Drosophila melanogaster: one gene and its partners. The protein of the gene in region 1 interacts with the protein of each later gene in a pairwise test. Each region holds a gene or a part of one and is shown on either strand. Other genes may lie near its edges.

Region 1 (4,320 bases):
ATTAGATTTCAAGAGCAAATTAACAGGTGATTTTTTTATTTTTATATTTGTTTTGAATTCTCCACTTGGAACGCTTCTGATAGGCTAATCTCCGAAAGCTTTTTCAAGTGGCTTGTTTTACGGCCTGAGTTAAATGTTATACGAAGTTTTGTGATTATATTTCGTTTCACTCATTAGATAAATCATTAGATGCACTGTAAAAAAGAAAATACAACTGAGATACGAAATCGTTTAAATAGGTATAGGAATCACATAACTATTATACAAATTTGTTGAGTTTTTTAAATCTTAATTTTAATGATTTTATTTAATTTTCTTTTTCTTTTGTGTATATGAATTAATTATAAACTAAAAAAGACACACAGATGATGTTTGAATTTTAATTTTAAAAACAATTAAAAAATGTTCTAAAATAAAACCTTTATTTAAAGAGCCTATTTAAATTTGTGTACAAGCTTCTATAAATTCATTCACTCAATCATTTAAAAAACCACATAGATAAATATAAGCTTTAACTAATTTAATTATTGTAAAATGAAGACAATAGTTATATGAGTTTTTTAAATTTTATTAATTTTTTCAGTTGTTTAGAAGTTTTATATTTTAAAGCTAGAATAAAAAATGTTTAGAGTTATTTATCACATATATGTTTTTTGAATCACATCCGTGTGCTGCTCATTAAAAAAAATGTTAATACTAAATTAAAAGTTTCGTTCGACCACGTTGGCCGGAACTTCCGGTTCATATGGAGTTTCCTCGTTATCCTTGAGAGCCAGTTTGTCCAACTCGGCCTGGCCATACCACTTCCTCTTAATGGTAAGTAAGATGCCAACTGCTATAAGAATGCAGCCCAGGCACAGGAATCCCACTCCAGTATATCTCCCTATAGCCGGTAGATTCAGTGCCAACTAAAAGACAAAATGCATTATTTAAAATAGAAATCAACGTAGTTCAACAAGCTCTAAAACATACCCTAAGTTCTGAGGCGAGGGCTTCGTCGATTTCCGCTCGACTAGCAGTGGTAAAAAGTGGTGCATAGAAGCTGGGCAGGCCCTTCAGTATGCTAGGAAAAAATGTGTTTATCAAGTCATATATATGGTAGGCAACAATTATTGTAAATAATTACTCTATAACGCTGTCTGGCTCTATGTACAAGGTAATCATCACATTGGCATTGACCTTCAACGGCACTCCCATCTTGCGCTCCATGATGATATAAAAGTTATTTTGATCGTAATTCGGATTGTAGCCGCTTATCGTGCTGCCATAACTTTCGTCCGCGTACATAAAATGATCCGCAGAAAGGTACATGGGAACTCCATCGGCACACGGTCCTAGGTCAGTGGCTCCGGTTGCAGGACAATTATCTGGCTGGCGCTCCAAAGGACACCAGCACTTCGCGTTACCATTGATCTGTCCATTGTCGAAGGTATTCGGCGTTATCTCGTACTTCCAACCCGTGATGCCCTGAATTGTTTCGCTCTGTCCGGTGAACTCAAGATTTATGATCCGACAAGTATCCGGAATGAAGATGGTCAAAGCCTTCTCCTTGGGCTCATCGGGCACAAAAAGATCCGTGGTGCTGCCATTGAGACGTCCACATTCTCCATCGTACCATCCCGTGTGATTCTGGCCCTTCCAATACTTAATTTCACCCATCTCCTTGATGTCACCCACTCCGGTGTGTACAGTGAAGGGACCCTCGAAGTCCTTCGATCCGTTACGGTTGAGGAACCAGGCAAAGTGATCCGACTCGATTTTTGGGACCAATGGATTATTCAGGGTCATGGCGTAATGCAAAAATTCGTCGTAGAAACTTTCGAACAGCCATTCAGCTGCCGTGTGGGTCACAAAGAGATGTCCACCATTCGCATTTAGGGCCTCGTTGAACATGAATTTCAGGAAGACGTTGCTATTCCGCATTTGGTTTGAAGCAGCCTGCAAAAAGTGAAAAAGGAAAACTTCTTTTAGACCAAATTGTTTTTTAATAACTGCTTATTTCCTACCAATGAAGGTAAATGTGGGGCGGTAATTAAATCCGTTTGCTTGCCGCCAGAGAGCTCCTCTTCCCAGAACCAAGTTCTTCTGGGGTTAAAGGTAACTGTGCCATTGTCGTGCCACTCAAGATCCATCTTCTTCCTCTCCTCTCGATAAACATAGGGTCCAAGTTGCGCGAAAATAGGTTTTACTCCATTAGCCTGCACATCTGCGGCATTTGTCCAGTTCCAAAGATACATGTAGACATACACCGGAATGGGCAGCTCCTCCCATTTTTCAAAAGTCTTTGAAGTGGGTGTCAACGGCAAGGCCTTTTTAATAAATCGATTAGTACTCCTCCTTAATTTTATTTTTATACACCGCCTCTCACCTTCATAATCCCTGAGTCTATAAAGCCAGGCCAGCATATTATGGCCAGGAGTCCGGAGACCGCGAAAAAGGTTCCCAGGCCGAAGACCCAGGCCTTTTGTTGGGTCACCCCACAGCAGCTGCAGCACATATTGAGAGACGAAACAAAGGCTTTCGAGCGACTGCAAAGTGGAAAAATATCGCTCGAGTTTTTATTCATGCGTCGCTTAGTAGATTATCCACTAGTAAATAAAGCAGCGGCTAATCATCATGTCTACTGTGGTAATCAGCTCGGTTTGGTTTGCTCAACTTATTCTGTGGGGTGATTGGGATCTAAGTGTGTGTTTAGAGTACCAAAAATCCTGATAAATGCAAAACGCTGCACTTAGTTTATTGAGAGTGCTGGCTAATCAGCCAGACTAGCAGTAGTAGCTATTTCATGCTGCCACGTACCAAATACCACTTGGTAACTAAATCAAATTTAACGATACATGGTACAATTTTATTTATAATAGTATATAAAAGTAATTAGGTACATTTTTATTTTAGGAATTAAGTTTCGTTTATCAGTTCTTAAGTTTTTAATAGCATGCCAGAGTGCTTCCTAATTCGCATTATAAATTAACTTGAAGCTAGTTGATTAAACTATTAATACGGTCAACTATTTTTGCCTTGACGCTCGCCCATCTTATCGGTTATATAGCATGTATGCTTAAATTAGTATTTGCAATGCAATTTTTATGGTCAGCCACTATAAAAGATCACTTCCAAAGACGGCAATCTAATCTTCCTTAATGAAATTCGATTAATCCCATTACGCAAAACCATTTTAAACTCATTACCCACCTGGTCTGCCGAAATGTTGGCAGCGTGATTGATCAGTATTTCAACCCTGACTATTGGAAAATTTTGATTAGAGTGGCGTTATCGTTAATATTGGGTGCTTATTAAAAGTGGGACTGCAAACATTCACAAATTAAATGGATGCGTTTGAAGTGTGTTCGCTTAAATTTTACGATTTCAAAGTCCAGCAAGAAGCTCACCATATTATATCAATTATTGTCCATTTTCCTTACTCGAATTCAGTTCAGTAAACTTCCTCCAGCATAGTGGCCAAGTATTAATTAGGCTGCTCCTCGGCTTTTCAGAGTAGCAATAATTGGAATTACTAAGCCACAAATGCAAGACCCACTATTAGTAATTGAATAGATTGCACTGGCTTCTGTTGATTTCCCCATTGCACTTCAATGTACATAATCAGCAGACATTGCAAGATATCAAATACTACGAAATGCCTTCGTAAGCACATTATTAAATATTTAGTGCGCATTCCATACAAACTTTCAATGCTGGAGCCTTTTCAAATACACCGTGCTAAATTCAATAGAATACTCCAAAATACATACATAAACTCTGTTCATATTTAATTGTTAGTTGAGTTATAAATATAATACACATACACACATACAATATATGGATATTGGATTTGCTATATAGGAAAAGTACGACGACTGCAGTTCAGAACATTTCAGCAACATCAGCATTTTTTAGGATCTACAAAAATCGGTTTGACTTGTAGAAATACGCCATTTTTTTCGTTGGTTGAGGTAGCCCTTTCAGTTTAGGCCTCAATGGAGCCCTCGGCTTCCAGTTGGGCCTTGCGACTTGGCTGTAAATAATTGATTGCCTTTCAATAACTATTCAAATATTTGGGCACACCTTTTATTACCTTCGGGTGCATCAGAATAAATGGTAGCTCAGCGCAGAGCTCGCCGCCCAGGGCTCCCAAGAAAAGCTTGACCTTCACAGCATATGAAACAATTATGCCAAAGGCATCCCTCGCATCCTGACTGGCAATACTGAAATAGAATTTTAAATATGCATTTTTCACTTAGTATTAGTATGCGTTTTATGCCATTTTGTAAACACATTTAGCTAAAGAACTGTTAGTCACCGGGAAAATACGATTTTTAA
Region 2 (3,889 bases), on another chromosome or scaffold:
TGCCAACGTCTTCGCGCAGAGCAACAAAATCGGGATTACCTCAAAATGACCAAGAATGTGGATGCCGGCTTAAAACACTATCCAGAGGACACTATCAGCTATCAGAGTAAGTGAATACGCCCAGCTTGTTAGATCCGCCCTTTTAAAACCTTTTTCTTCTTCCCTTCCCTTTCAGTTAAGAGCCTTAACAAGCAAATCATTGCCGTGGTGCAGTTCATCTTCTCCGTGGCCGCTGGCTTTACGTTCGGCTTTTTCGGCGTCAATTTGATGGTGGGCCCGCTGCCTTTCGGCTTTCGCATCTTGCTGGGCGTGATTGTAGCGCTCATCATAGCCCTGGCTGAGATGTACTTCCTGGCCAAGAAGCTGCACGAGTACGATGAGGTCTTGGACGCGCCCAAACGTAAGCCGCAGCCATCGACGCCGGCTAAGCGCACCCCGCCCGCCGAGGGAAGTCAAGTCCAGACATTGAAACCCCATGTTGACTAGATAGATGATCTGCGAGTAAAAATCGTTCTTTGTCGTTGTATTATTTCGCTTTGCAATGTTAGGTTATATAAATAGCTGTAAAAGTTTTATTCTTTCGGAATCGGGGACTTGGATATCGATTATATGCTACGTATGCTTATTTCGACCGTGAATGCACACCCTATTCGTAGTGGTTCGGCTGTGGATTGGGGTTATTCCAGCCCTCGTCCACGGCATCAGATCCTCCGCGACCCAGCCAGGCCATAAGATAGACGAACAAGACAAAGGCCAAAATGCCGGCGGTCACCAGGAACCAAGTGCGACGCCACGGCGGCCGCGAGGAGGGCGCATAGAAGCGGCGTGTCCATCGCGAGAACAATTCCGCAGGAGTGCGGCGCTGGTACTTATTATCGTCTCGATCTGTCCCACCAATTGGCGACTGACGGGGCAGCAGCGGTCTTCTGCTGCTGGCTGCAGGTGCGTAAGATTATAATTATAATATGACTCAAAGTGTATGCTAGATTATGCGCACCGTAGTCGCCCGCACTTGGGGGATTAAATGCATCCATTAGGAGCACGGAATGTGGGCTCACGGCGTCATGGCCATTGGGCTTCGTGCGCTCTCGCTCGCCACCGGAATGGATGTGGTGCACTTTGGTCATGTTGCTGACAGCCGCCTGGCTTGCCACCTTGGGCTTAATGGCCTTCAGACTGCTGCTCTGCTCCTCAGAGAGCTGGGAAAGATTCAACATTTAAATTGATTACAAGCTTACTGCCCGGAATGCTTACCAGGGCGAGTCCCAGGCCATTTCTGCCCCAGTTAACCTGCGACAGGAAACTCTTCAGAGCATCGGCCACCGGGGAGACCAGGTTGGCGTTGGGAAAGATCTCCACACTGCAGGCGGGGCACTGGTGACCCCGAGGGGCTGTGTTGGCAGGCAGTGCGGCTTGGCGGGCGTTCAGGCAGTCCCAGTGGAAAACATCTGGAAATGGCAGGATTATGGGTAAGTGTGTGGTGTCTGGATTAGCTCAAAACTGGCAGATCCCTACGGTAGCAGACGAGGCGCACGCAATCGCCCTGCTCCAATGTGGTGCCGCACAGAGTGCAGTTGGAGATGTAGTCGCTGTCCCGCAGCCACTGCAGATACGACTGCACAATGCACTGAAAAAGAGTGGATATGGTGTATTCCAAGCATCCATAAAACTAGAGGACAGGAATCCTTACCTTTGGATGAGACTGAACCATACAGTGTTCGCAAACATTGACTCGATGCTCAAAGCAAAACTGGTTGGTCACCAGGCGCTTGGGGCACTTGCACAAACCCATTTCCTTAAATTCGGGGTTCCTAAGGCGGCGGAGGAATTGCACTTGGCGGCCTTGGGACAGCTATCGCATAATAACGCCTCAATAAAATTAAATTTTATTTCGTTTCGCAGCTTTTGTCGGAATTTTCGAGTTTTCATTCACATATTCAACAGCCACGTATCTGTTCATGCGTTCCGGGCGATTGGCAACCAGCTGACATATTCTGCGAATATCGTAGCGATGAATGATGAAATACGATATGTGTTTGCGATTTAAAAAATCGGTTTCAAATTTTCCTTTTTTTTATGGTAACCATAACATTTAAGAGTTAATAATGTTTGTGCTACAAAAAGCTTAATAAACAATAAGTTCAATTTGTAATACTTAATATAAAATAAAATCCAGAGTTTTCGAGCTAATCCCTAATCCAACCAATCTCGCATATATTCACAAGTTATAGCAGTTACATCGCCACAATTGGAGCAGTTTTTGATGACGGGACAAATGCCACATGGCATCTGGACCAGACCAGTCGGAGGAAGTGGGGCGTTCACCGCCCGGTAGACGAAGGATCCATCCTGCTGGCGCACTCGCTCCGCATTGCCGTCGTACACCACTGTTTTGAGAATTGTTTCCAGATCGGCCTCCGCCAGATTAACCTTGCTGATGCCCAAGTCCGAGATGAACTTCTGAACCTCGTTCACCGTGCAGCAAGACATCTGCTTGAAGGCCAGTGGCCCCTCGCGCTTCTTTTCCGCACTGTCGCGTTTCATTTGCAGAAAGCGCAGGCACTGCTGGTTGAGCACATCCACAAACTCCACCTCAAAGTCCTGATCCTGGTACCAGGCTCCTCCCGTAATGGAGAGATCCGGCTCTAGGTTGTACAGCATGTACACTTTCTTTTTGCTGGCCTGCGCGAAGAAAATTTGGAATCACATTGAACTTGGAATATGGGATCATAGAACCTACGTTCACCGACTTGACCGCCTTGATGAGCTTCTTGGTTTCTAGGTTCTTGAGGATCTTGTTGAGCTGTATCATGTTCAGGTTGGACTTCATACGTATATCCCTAATCCAGATGCCTTTGTTGCCGCCCTCCTCAACAATGCCGTAGACGACCTTCTCCTCATTGTCCGCATCCTTGGGCAGGGCACTCTTCTTTTCCGGGTCCTTGGCACGGTACACCAGCTTTTCACCCTTCTTCAGGATCTCGATCCCGCCCTCCTGCAGCAGTATATTCAAAGCTTCCACCCGCGTGGCCGCCGGCACATCGGGCAGCGCCTTGGTCAGGTCATCGTTGGTGGCACCGGCTGGGATGCCCTGGACCACCGCCAGCAAAAGTTGCGACACCTCAGTGGCCATTTTTCTATTCTCGAAAATTTGTTATTTAAAATTCAATTAAATCGAGAAAAACAACACGCTTACCGTGAAAAGCAAAACAAAAACAAACGGTTCCGGGCGAATGGCTACCGCTGCTAAGAAGAAGCTAAAAAATAACAAAAATCACAAACCAATTTTAAAAATATAAGTTTGTTCTATTAAAAATAATACTTTACGCAACTGAATAAATGAGGATAAATAAGGAGCATATGTTTTAGGCTTTATTACAAATTGCTTTAAATAAAATTTAAAGCTTTCCGAAGACCCCAAATGTTATATCGTGAATCTGGTATGTATATACCAAATGGTATTTATTTTAAAAACGAGTGGCTTTTTTAGGCTCATTGGTGCCAACTGTTTTTTCGAACAGATCGCCGGACGCACTGTTTCTGATTGGAGTGTTCGCTGCCTGTGCATTTAAATTGAATTAAAATAATTCCAAAACAGGAAGAGCAAATACATCTTTCCGCGAGTTCACCTTTACTGTCAAAAACAGGTAATTATCAGATCTTCTTGATACGACCTCAAGCTAAACATCATTCCATTATAATACGCTAGAAATTTTGCTAACGAAATTGGCGGGGGCAAGACATTTGTTTTTGCTGTTGTTGATGATGCAAGCAATTTCTCCACATTATGTAGAATTGCGTTTGCCGCCTCACAAAACACATACACACAAGCACGGCTGCGAATTCAATTCGCACACCCATACAATCTCAAAAGAACCTCGTTAGCGAA
Region 3 (7,827 bases), on another chromosome or scaffold:
GGGTAGCAGTTAGTCGAAACTAGTCTAGTTAAGTTGAGAACTTGAAAGTGGTGGGGGGTCTGTGCGTCAGTGGCACTTACATGTTCGCTTGGCGCTCGGAAAACAGGCGTTGGAGGGCGTCCAGTCCACTTGTGGCCGCCCTCGCAACTGGCTGTTAACTCCATGCCGAGTACCTGCACCAATATTCGATTATTTACGGCAAAGATCTACGTACTCAAAGGTGCTATACAGGGTATATAATGGCATACCGTCAGTTCCTGTTCAGCGCTTAGATCCCGCCGTTTCCTGGCTCCCTTCGCCACGGTCTCCTGCTCCGGATTTTGGTCGGTGCTGCTTGCATGTCCATTGGATAGGTTCTGCTTGTCTAGTGGTTGCTCCCTCGTTTTTTCGTTGTCGTTTTTCTGCACAGGATACACAGGATATAATACGGTTAGAGAGGACACTCTCGAAACAGTCAGTAGAATGTGAGAGCTAAGCAATTCTATACAGCCTCAAAACGCAAGAAATCAGAAATCGAACGCATTAATTACTTCAATTCGTTGTGGTTAGGTGAAACGCAACAAAACTCAATTAGTCGAAGGATCTTGGTTAATAAACAAAAAGATTAAGTTCTTGTTACAAATTATATGTTCAAGGATTGCCGTGCCGGACCCTTTGAAGGTCTCTAACCTTATTCGAATCAGTTTCAGTGTCGCTCGTCGCCCTCTGCTTGTCTTGGCCATTCAATTGCTCGTCGGCCGCGTCTATCAAACCTTGTATGGCCGTAACAACTAGCCCCATGAAAGTACAGGGTATCAATTTGGGATTTACATTCATTTTTTTTTTTGTGTTTTTGCGAGAAACATGAAAAACGTAGAAACGACACAGAGAGTGAATATTTATATAGTTGTTTCTTTGTAGCTCTGAGTATGAAATGATGTTTGCGATTATCTTTATTGGCAATGTAAAGTTACGTATAGTGTTCGAATAGATTTCGAATAAGACTGCTTTGAATCGTAAAATATGTCCCCATCATAAGAGTTTAGTTTAGTTCAGATCGAGAGTACTCAGTGAGATGCAAACACATTTAGACTGGGTTCGTTAGTAGATACGAGTATGTGAAAAGATATGTTTATATATATATATATATATGCATATATCGCATGCCGACAGCAGACAAGCAGGTTAAATTAGAAACAGAGTCGGGAGAATTCCGTTCCATGCACTTGTTAGACTTGAAGATTAAGGACAGAGTGACATAGTTTTAGAACTGAAGGCTTTTTTTGGGGGGGAGGATGTGGCAGGGGGGTAAAAGAAACCATTCCGAGGATTCAGCTATTCACTAGAAACCAATTGAAAACAGAAATAATCTAGTTGACTTTGTTCGTTGTACTTAGTTGTGATCTGAGTTGTTGTTGGTCTGATTTTGGTCTGTTTTACTGACTGATTCTATGTGAACTGAATGATGGTTATTATTGTCTTAGAAGTTTGGCTGCCGCTTGAGAAACTTGAGGGCAATCATCTTGAAAATGAGAACACAAAAGAGATCAAATATTAATTCAAATGACAGCGAGATGGTCCAACTGAAATCACTACGATATATGATGTGCTACTAGATGTATCTGAGTCGCGTTGTATAGCTATATCTGTATCTGTATCTGCTTTTTTCCGATTCGATGACGATGGTAGGAAGCTACTGGATACTGGATGCTGGATGCTAACCTTTGCCTCATACTGATCGGTGTTCATTTCGGCCACCAACTGGGCCATCGCCCGCTCCGTGCTCTCGAGTTTCTGGCGCAGCTTCTCGATCTCCATCAGCTGCTCGGCCTCCTTCAGCTGCTGGTGGCTCTTCAGAGAGGCGGACAAACTGCTCGCCACCTCGGTGGCCGACACACTGGCGTTGTACAGCTCCTTTTCGGTGTCCTTGGCGGCCGGCTTCTTTGCGGCGGCAGTGGCGGTGGCAGCTCCTATAAAATTGTCGTACGGTTTGGTAATCAGGGCCGGAAATCGAATCAATCGAGGGACTAACGAAACTAAGGAGTATTTACACGGGTGCAGGAGTGGCAACAAAATAAATGTATATATCCATGGAAGCGTGATCAATTCGGGGTTAGTATATATATATATTTATAAATAGTATATAGGCACACAACATCTAGAATGAGTACATCTAGGTAAATGAAATAGAACACATAGTCGCTACGATACTACGATACCAAATGAGGAGGACATATTTCAAAACTCAAAAGGCCTTTGTCGAGGTCTAGAAACTCAAGATACGAACGAAACTCTATGGTCATCTATGCAACCATCTATATATATCTGGCTTACTTGTCTGATGCTCTCGCCAGCCTGATACCGTGGCATGATTTTCGGTGTGCATGGGTTTTTTTGGAAGCAGAAGAGTACAAAATGCGATTTTTTTTCGGTTAGGATTGAATCGTGAGTGCGGTGGCTAGAGCGATTGTGTGTGTGTGTGTCCAACTACGAGTGTAATAATCCGGAAGATGGCATCCGAATTGGCCTGGCACTCACCCAGTTTGCTGCCGCCCAAATCCTCCACCTGGCTGTGGTTCTGTGATCCGAAGACCTCCTGCCGGAAGGCAGGATTTGGAGGCGCCGCTCCGTACGGATCATTGGGAACTTGCTTCTTGAACATAATCTGCATGTAAGAGTTTTATAGTATTATAATTACATATATACGATCAAAGAGAGTCACCTTCATTAGGGTGTAGCCGAAGAAGACTACGATGCCAATGGTGTAGAGTGGCATTAGGAAGCCCATGCTGCTGCCCCGCTGTTGTGGCTGATGCAGTGCACCGGCGCCCATGGGTGGACGCATTCCAGGAATGGGTCCAGGCTAGAAAGTACATACATATGTCAAAAGTTACTGAAATACAATAGAATGCCGCCAACAATCAAGGTCATATTAAATGTATCAGGTATACGCCCCGGTGGTTTCTTAAGTCAATTGTCTTTAGATATTTTTGAACTGATCGAATATGTATATTCTATTGTCCTATGTAATCATAAAAATTACGTATCCGCCGCGATGTATATTGACATAAAGATTACTCAAGACAGTTGTCTTCGAAATCTTTTGAATTGATGTCTTTGTAGGAGAAGGGAATCGATTGTGTTTTATTGACAACCCATGTAATCATTAAAATTACGTATCCGCCCCGTTGTATTTTGACATGAGGCGAGGACAGCTGATTTGTGCTCCCCGGCCATTCTAGCATTCTAGTAGCGATGAGAGCAAAATGGAACTGGCGCACTGAATTTGGCACAAGTTCAATACGCAGCAGCACATTCGGCCGATCTCCCACTCATCATTTACAAATTCTTTTTTTGTGTTTTCTTTAGCGCTGTCTCTTGCCTTCAATTTGCGTGCAGTGTCATAAAAACAAAACCCGAATCCGAATAAAATAAACGTTTGGCTATTTATAAATGACTTCCAACGCGAGCGCGGATATGTCTCATCCCGCCGTCATTATAATCACATCGACCACAGCCCGCCGACCAGTATAACTATATATATTATAATTATGGATTTATCGTCCGGAGAATAATGCACACCGTATGGTTAAATGTATAGTAGCCCAACTCACCCGTCCGTCGACAATCCGCGGAGGCGGATTACTGGGCGAAGTCTTTCGTTCTAGAATCGGCACGGTGGGCGTGGCGGGAATGGCGCGACCCCGCTCCCTCATGGCCTGGTATATGGATTCCGGATGCAGGTGGGCGGGACGCTCCTGGCGCAGACCTGCGACCACAATGGATTCATTAGTAACACAATTAAACTATCAAATTTTTAATTGACATAAACACTACATTTTAGAAACCCAAACATTAATAAACTCATTAATACCGTAAAGGTTAGGAATCTAAATGTATCTCAATCGATTGTTTCATGTAGATACAATCTTGTTAGTAGAGCCAAACACCGTTAGTAAAACCAATAAGCAAATTATAAATAATCGAGCCACATACTTATTTCGCCCGTGTAAACATTGATTTGCTTGCGATACAAATGCGGACCGAAGGGCTCGACAGTGTCCTTCTTCGTGGCATTCAGAAACTGCTCCCTGTCCAGGACGACATCACAACATCCTACAACATCGACCGGACAACAACAACACCCACATACGGAAATCAAAAGAAAATCATGATGATAATTCATAAATAATAAATGATAAATGAAATTAAGTAAAGTACAACATTTATAAGCCCTAGCTCCTAATGTGGTGAATAGAATCTGATGACTTACCGCCTGGTGCTGCTCGTGGATCCTTGAAGTTTGGCTGGCTTGGAGGCACTCCTCCGAACATCATGGGATGGAAGACCTTTGGCCACAGGATGGCAATGCATCCGATCACGGTTACGATGATCAGGGCGGTCTTCTTGGGCGTCATGCCCTCCTCGACGAGCGGAGCTCTCGGCTTGGATGTGGCTGTAGCGGGCATTTTGGCTTGGTAGCGGATTCCGTGGGCTATCTGGATTCGTTTGGCTATGGGTTCGTGGTTAAAGCTAGTCCCTAAGGCAACTCTGCTATGTGTTCCTGATCGATTTGGTTCGTTGATGGCTCCCTGCGAGCTGTTGACTATGCGCTGTGTTTCTAGTTGCTGTTTAACTTTGGCATTGGCTCATTTTGGCTGGCTAATGGTTGATTTGCTGTACGTTTAAAGCATTATCTGAAAGATACATAGATGCATAATCGGTTACACGCTACAGTTCGCTGATTCCGGCTTTCGTTGGAGTTGTATTCACATCACTGATCGGTCACGAATCGCAGCGCAAAATGCTGTATACGTTTGAATATTGTTGCGGGAAAACAAAAAAGTTTATTACATAAATAGCGGTCCCGATCTTTTTTATTTTTAGCTCGCGCAATTCGCTCTTTTCGGCCCGTCTAATAATTCTTTATTATTTTCACTTTTCCCACCGCACAAATCACAATTAACGACCGCATAAATAATATTGAACGTTTCTCCAAAAGAAAATGCTTTCGTATCGCTTTTGGAAAACGGTTTTTGAACGACCAAGGGTTCGAAAAAAAATGAAAACAGAAAACTGGACAGAGCGACTGCTTACGCAAAGTTCGAATGTTGTTCCCGAACTGGCCAGGCAAATTTTTGAAACTATTAGCGAATTTTCGGCAGATCAGATCTGAAGACCCGACACACCATTCGGGCGCGCTTTTCCCCATAATCGTCGTCGGCCATTATTTTCCTTTATTTTTGATGAGACAAGTGATTTGCAGCTTGGGCCTGCACCGGGAATTTCCGAGAGCTACGCTACAGCAGCCGACATAACATTAATGCTCTCTAATTCATTTCGGAAATAGATTTTAAATCAAAATACATATAACTGCTTGGGAAATTGGGCAAACTTAATTTGAAATATTTCAGCAAAAAAATTTTATAATATAATTTTAAATTTAATTTTTTGAGCTATTGCTGCTGTTTTGCTGACCAGCACTGTGTGCGAAATTTCGTGTTTTCATATTTTTCATTTCGCAGCTTCTTCGCTCTTGTTATCACACACGCACACACACACTGCCAAGTGCTATGAGTTTTCCGACCGTTTTCCATTTCGCTTTCAAGCGCACTGACTGAAAAGTGGCGAAAGTAAAATTGTTTTTACTATGCACGTCTGTTATTTGCACAGCATCTTCTTATTTCCACCACTTTTATTTTAAAAATTTCCCTCTTCTTGTCACTGTCTACATTAATTTGGAAAACGTTTTTCGAGCTCTCTGCGCTTTTATTTTTGGAGGCACAGCATTTGTAATTTGGGTTCAATGCCGTTCGGCTTAAGACTCATCACTTATTTTTAAAAATTATGAATTCAAAGTGTGGAGATTTTGTCCTTGGAATTGCTCTCGTGTTCTGAGGTACCTTTTAAATAATTATCAGTTTCGTTTTTAAAGACTAACACCTTTGGTTTCAAAGTTCGTTTTCTTATCTAATTACGCTAATTTCAAACTGTTTGTTTGTCGTTATAAGTTTCTCTGCCAGAAAGCAGCAGCAATAATAATTGATTTTTCAGTCGACCGAACGGAGATGGGCAGCATTGGCTGTCAATCGATGCATGCGAGTGCTATCGATACTTTTCTATCGTTTAAAGTTAACGGATCCTTTACACTGATAGAAGGCTTATGGGATTTAATAAATTTTTGTATATTTGTAATTGTTTTAAATGGAATCACATTATTATTAATATATAAAGGTCAAATATATATTTGGTTCGTAAAATGGTTACTTTATTATGCATTATTATGATGTTAAACTAGACTAACTATATATAACTAAGGATCAACTAAGGATCCAATATAACGGTAATACGTAAAATGCGGAATATACAAATATTAATTCGCTCAGCACTGTTGCCCTTTATCGAAATTAAAATTATTCGATTTATCGATAGCATCGTGAGTGGTCCACCCAGCTCCAATGTTTTCGTCTTCTTTGTGTTATAAAATTAACAATTTATAAATACGCATTTTCCGCTGGACCACCGAATATCGTCGTGACTTTGAAGAATCACAGTGCTATCAATCCTCGAAAGCAAAAGGTTGTAAAATCGAAAGTGAACGCGCGCCTGGCGTGACTGGTTTCTAGGCTTTCACCCCACGAAACTGGAGCTAACAATGGACAGCGAGTCGTTGGCCTGTTCGTCGGTGGAGAAGGACCTGACCCGAGTGGTCAGCAAACTGGAGCAGCTTCACGAGAACGCAGAGGCGGACATCGGAGATATAGCCACACAGATGTCGGAGCTGGTAGAGGTTCTCAGCAGGGCGGAGCAGCTGGTGACCACTCTGAACTCGAGCACCCAGGTGTCCCAGGACGATCCCATGGGCGATGCGGTGAGCATGCAGGTGGAGACGGAACCGACGGCACCACAACGCCTAACCGAGCGCCAAGTGGAGAGCGTCCGGAATGCTCTCGCCAGGTGCCACGAGCGCGTGCAAAAACTGTCCACGGAGCACCGCGATCTGCACGGCTCCATTTCGAAGATCGGCAAGGCCATTGACCGCAACTTTAGCGCCGACTTCTCGTCCACCATGCGAGTGGACGTGCTGCAGGACGAGGAGAACCTGATGTTGCTGAACAAGGCCATTGCCAAGCATTATTGTCGCCAGGGCATGGACGATGTGGCTCGCACGCTAATCCGCGAGTGCAAGATGTCGCCGGAGCATGCCCAGGATGTGTTCGACTCGGAGCGCGAGTTTGCCGACATCTACGGCATTTGGGTGAAGATCCAAAAGCGGGATCTGACTGACGCCCTCAAGTGGGCAAAGATGTACTCCCAGCAGCTGAGTGACCGCCACTCGCTCATAGAGTTCCGGCTGCACCGCATGCGTTTCATGCAGCTGGTCTCCTACGGATTGGACTCGCAGCGCGAGGCCATCTCCTACGCTCGACTGAACTTCAAGAAGTTTGCTGTGCGCTATGAGCACGAAATAGCCAACTTGATGGCCAGCTTTATATATCTGCCCAGTGGACTGGAGAACTCGCCTTACAAGCACTTCTTGGGCCAGGAGAAGTGGACCGAACTGTCGTTCATATTCCTCAAAGACGCATGCCAACTGCTAGGCATTAGCAAGAACTCCGCCCTGTCTGTTGTGGTCAATGCCGGATGCACTGCCCTGCCCGCCTTGCTCAATATCAAGCAGGTGATGCAGTCGCGCCAAGTCCTTGGCATGTGGAACGGCTGCGACGAGTTGCCCATTGAGATCGATCTGCAGCCGGAATTCCGATTCCACTCGATCTTTGCCTGCCCCATATTGCGCCAGCAGACTTCCGAGGACAATCCGCCGAAGAAGTTGACCTGCGGTCATGT

Evidence for each region.
Region 2: the proteins of ninaD (region 1) and CG5382 interact in a two-hybrid assay, tested with the Drosophila melanogaster proteins (one large-scale study listed by BioGRID).
Region 3: the proteins of ninaD (region 1) and RIC-3 interact in a two-hybrid assay, tested with the Drosophila melanogaster proteins (one large-scale study listed by BioGRID).

Annotation. Positions count from the first base shown.
Region 1 is NT_033779.5:18,079,842-18,084,161, reverse strand, and holds ninaD (neither inactivation nor afterpotential D), read right to left. Parts: upstream 2,535-4,320; 5' UTR 2,498-2,534; coding exon 2,369-2,497; intron 2,310-2,368; coding exon 2,007-2,309; intron 1,939-2,006; coding exon 1,127-1,938; coding exon of another isoform or gene 1,123-1,126; exon of another isoform or gene 1,066-1,122; intron 1,064-1,065; coding exon 973-1,063; intron 909-972; coding exon 702-908; 3' UTR 554-701; downstream 1-553. Other genes in the region: Arr1 (arrestin 1), read right to left, coding at 3,968-4,015, 4,076-4,205.
Region 2 is NT_033777.3:22,364,022-22,367,910, forward strand, and holds CG5382 (uncharacterized protein), read right to left. Parts: upstream 1,963-3,889; 5' UTR 1,793-1,962; coding exon 1,691-1,792; intron 1,628-1,690; coding exon 1,516-1,627; intron 1,449-1,515; coding exon 1,255-1,448; intron 1,200-1,254; coding exon 998-1,199; intron 937-997; coding exon 647-936; 3' UTR 552-646; downstream 1-551. Other genes in the region: CG7071 (uncharacterized protein), read left to right, coding at 1-106, 176-486; Polr3F (RNA polymerase III subunit F), read right to left, coding at 2,194-2,682, 2,741-3,133.
Region 3 is NT_033778.4:21,016,008-21,023,834, reverse strand, and holds the start of RIC-3 (RIC3 acetylcholine receptor chaperone), read right to left. Parts: upstream 6,052-7,827; 5' UTR 5,883-6,051; intron 5,691-5,882; exon of another isoform or gene 5,567-5,690; intron 5,104-5,566; exon of another isoform or gene 5,077-5,103; intron 4,773-5,076; exon of another isoform or gene 4,753-4,772; intron 4,677-4,752; 5' UTR 4,449-4,676; coding exon 4,253-4,448; intron 4,096-4,252; coding exon 3,976-4,095; intron 3,749-3,975; coding exon 3,594-3,748; intron 2,843-3,593; coding exon 2,702-2,842; intron 2,645-2,701; coding exon 2,518-2,644; intron 2,335-2,517; coding exon of another isoform or gene 2,314-2,334; intron 1,950-2,313; coding exon 1,702-1,949; intron 1,502-1,701; coding exon of another isoform or gene 1,460-1,501; exon of another isoform or gene 1,373-1,459; intron 771-1,372; coding exon of another isoform or gene 670-770; intron 402-669; coding exon 249-401; intron 174-248; coding exon 81-173; intron 1-80. Other genes in the region: Sou (souji), read left to right, coding at 6,635-7,827.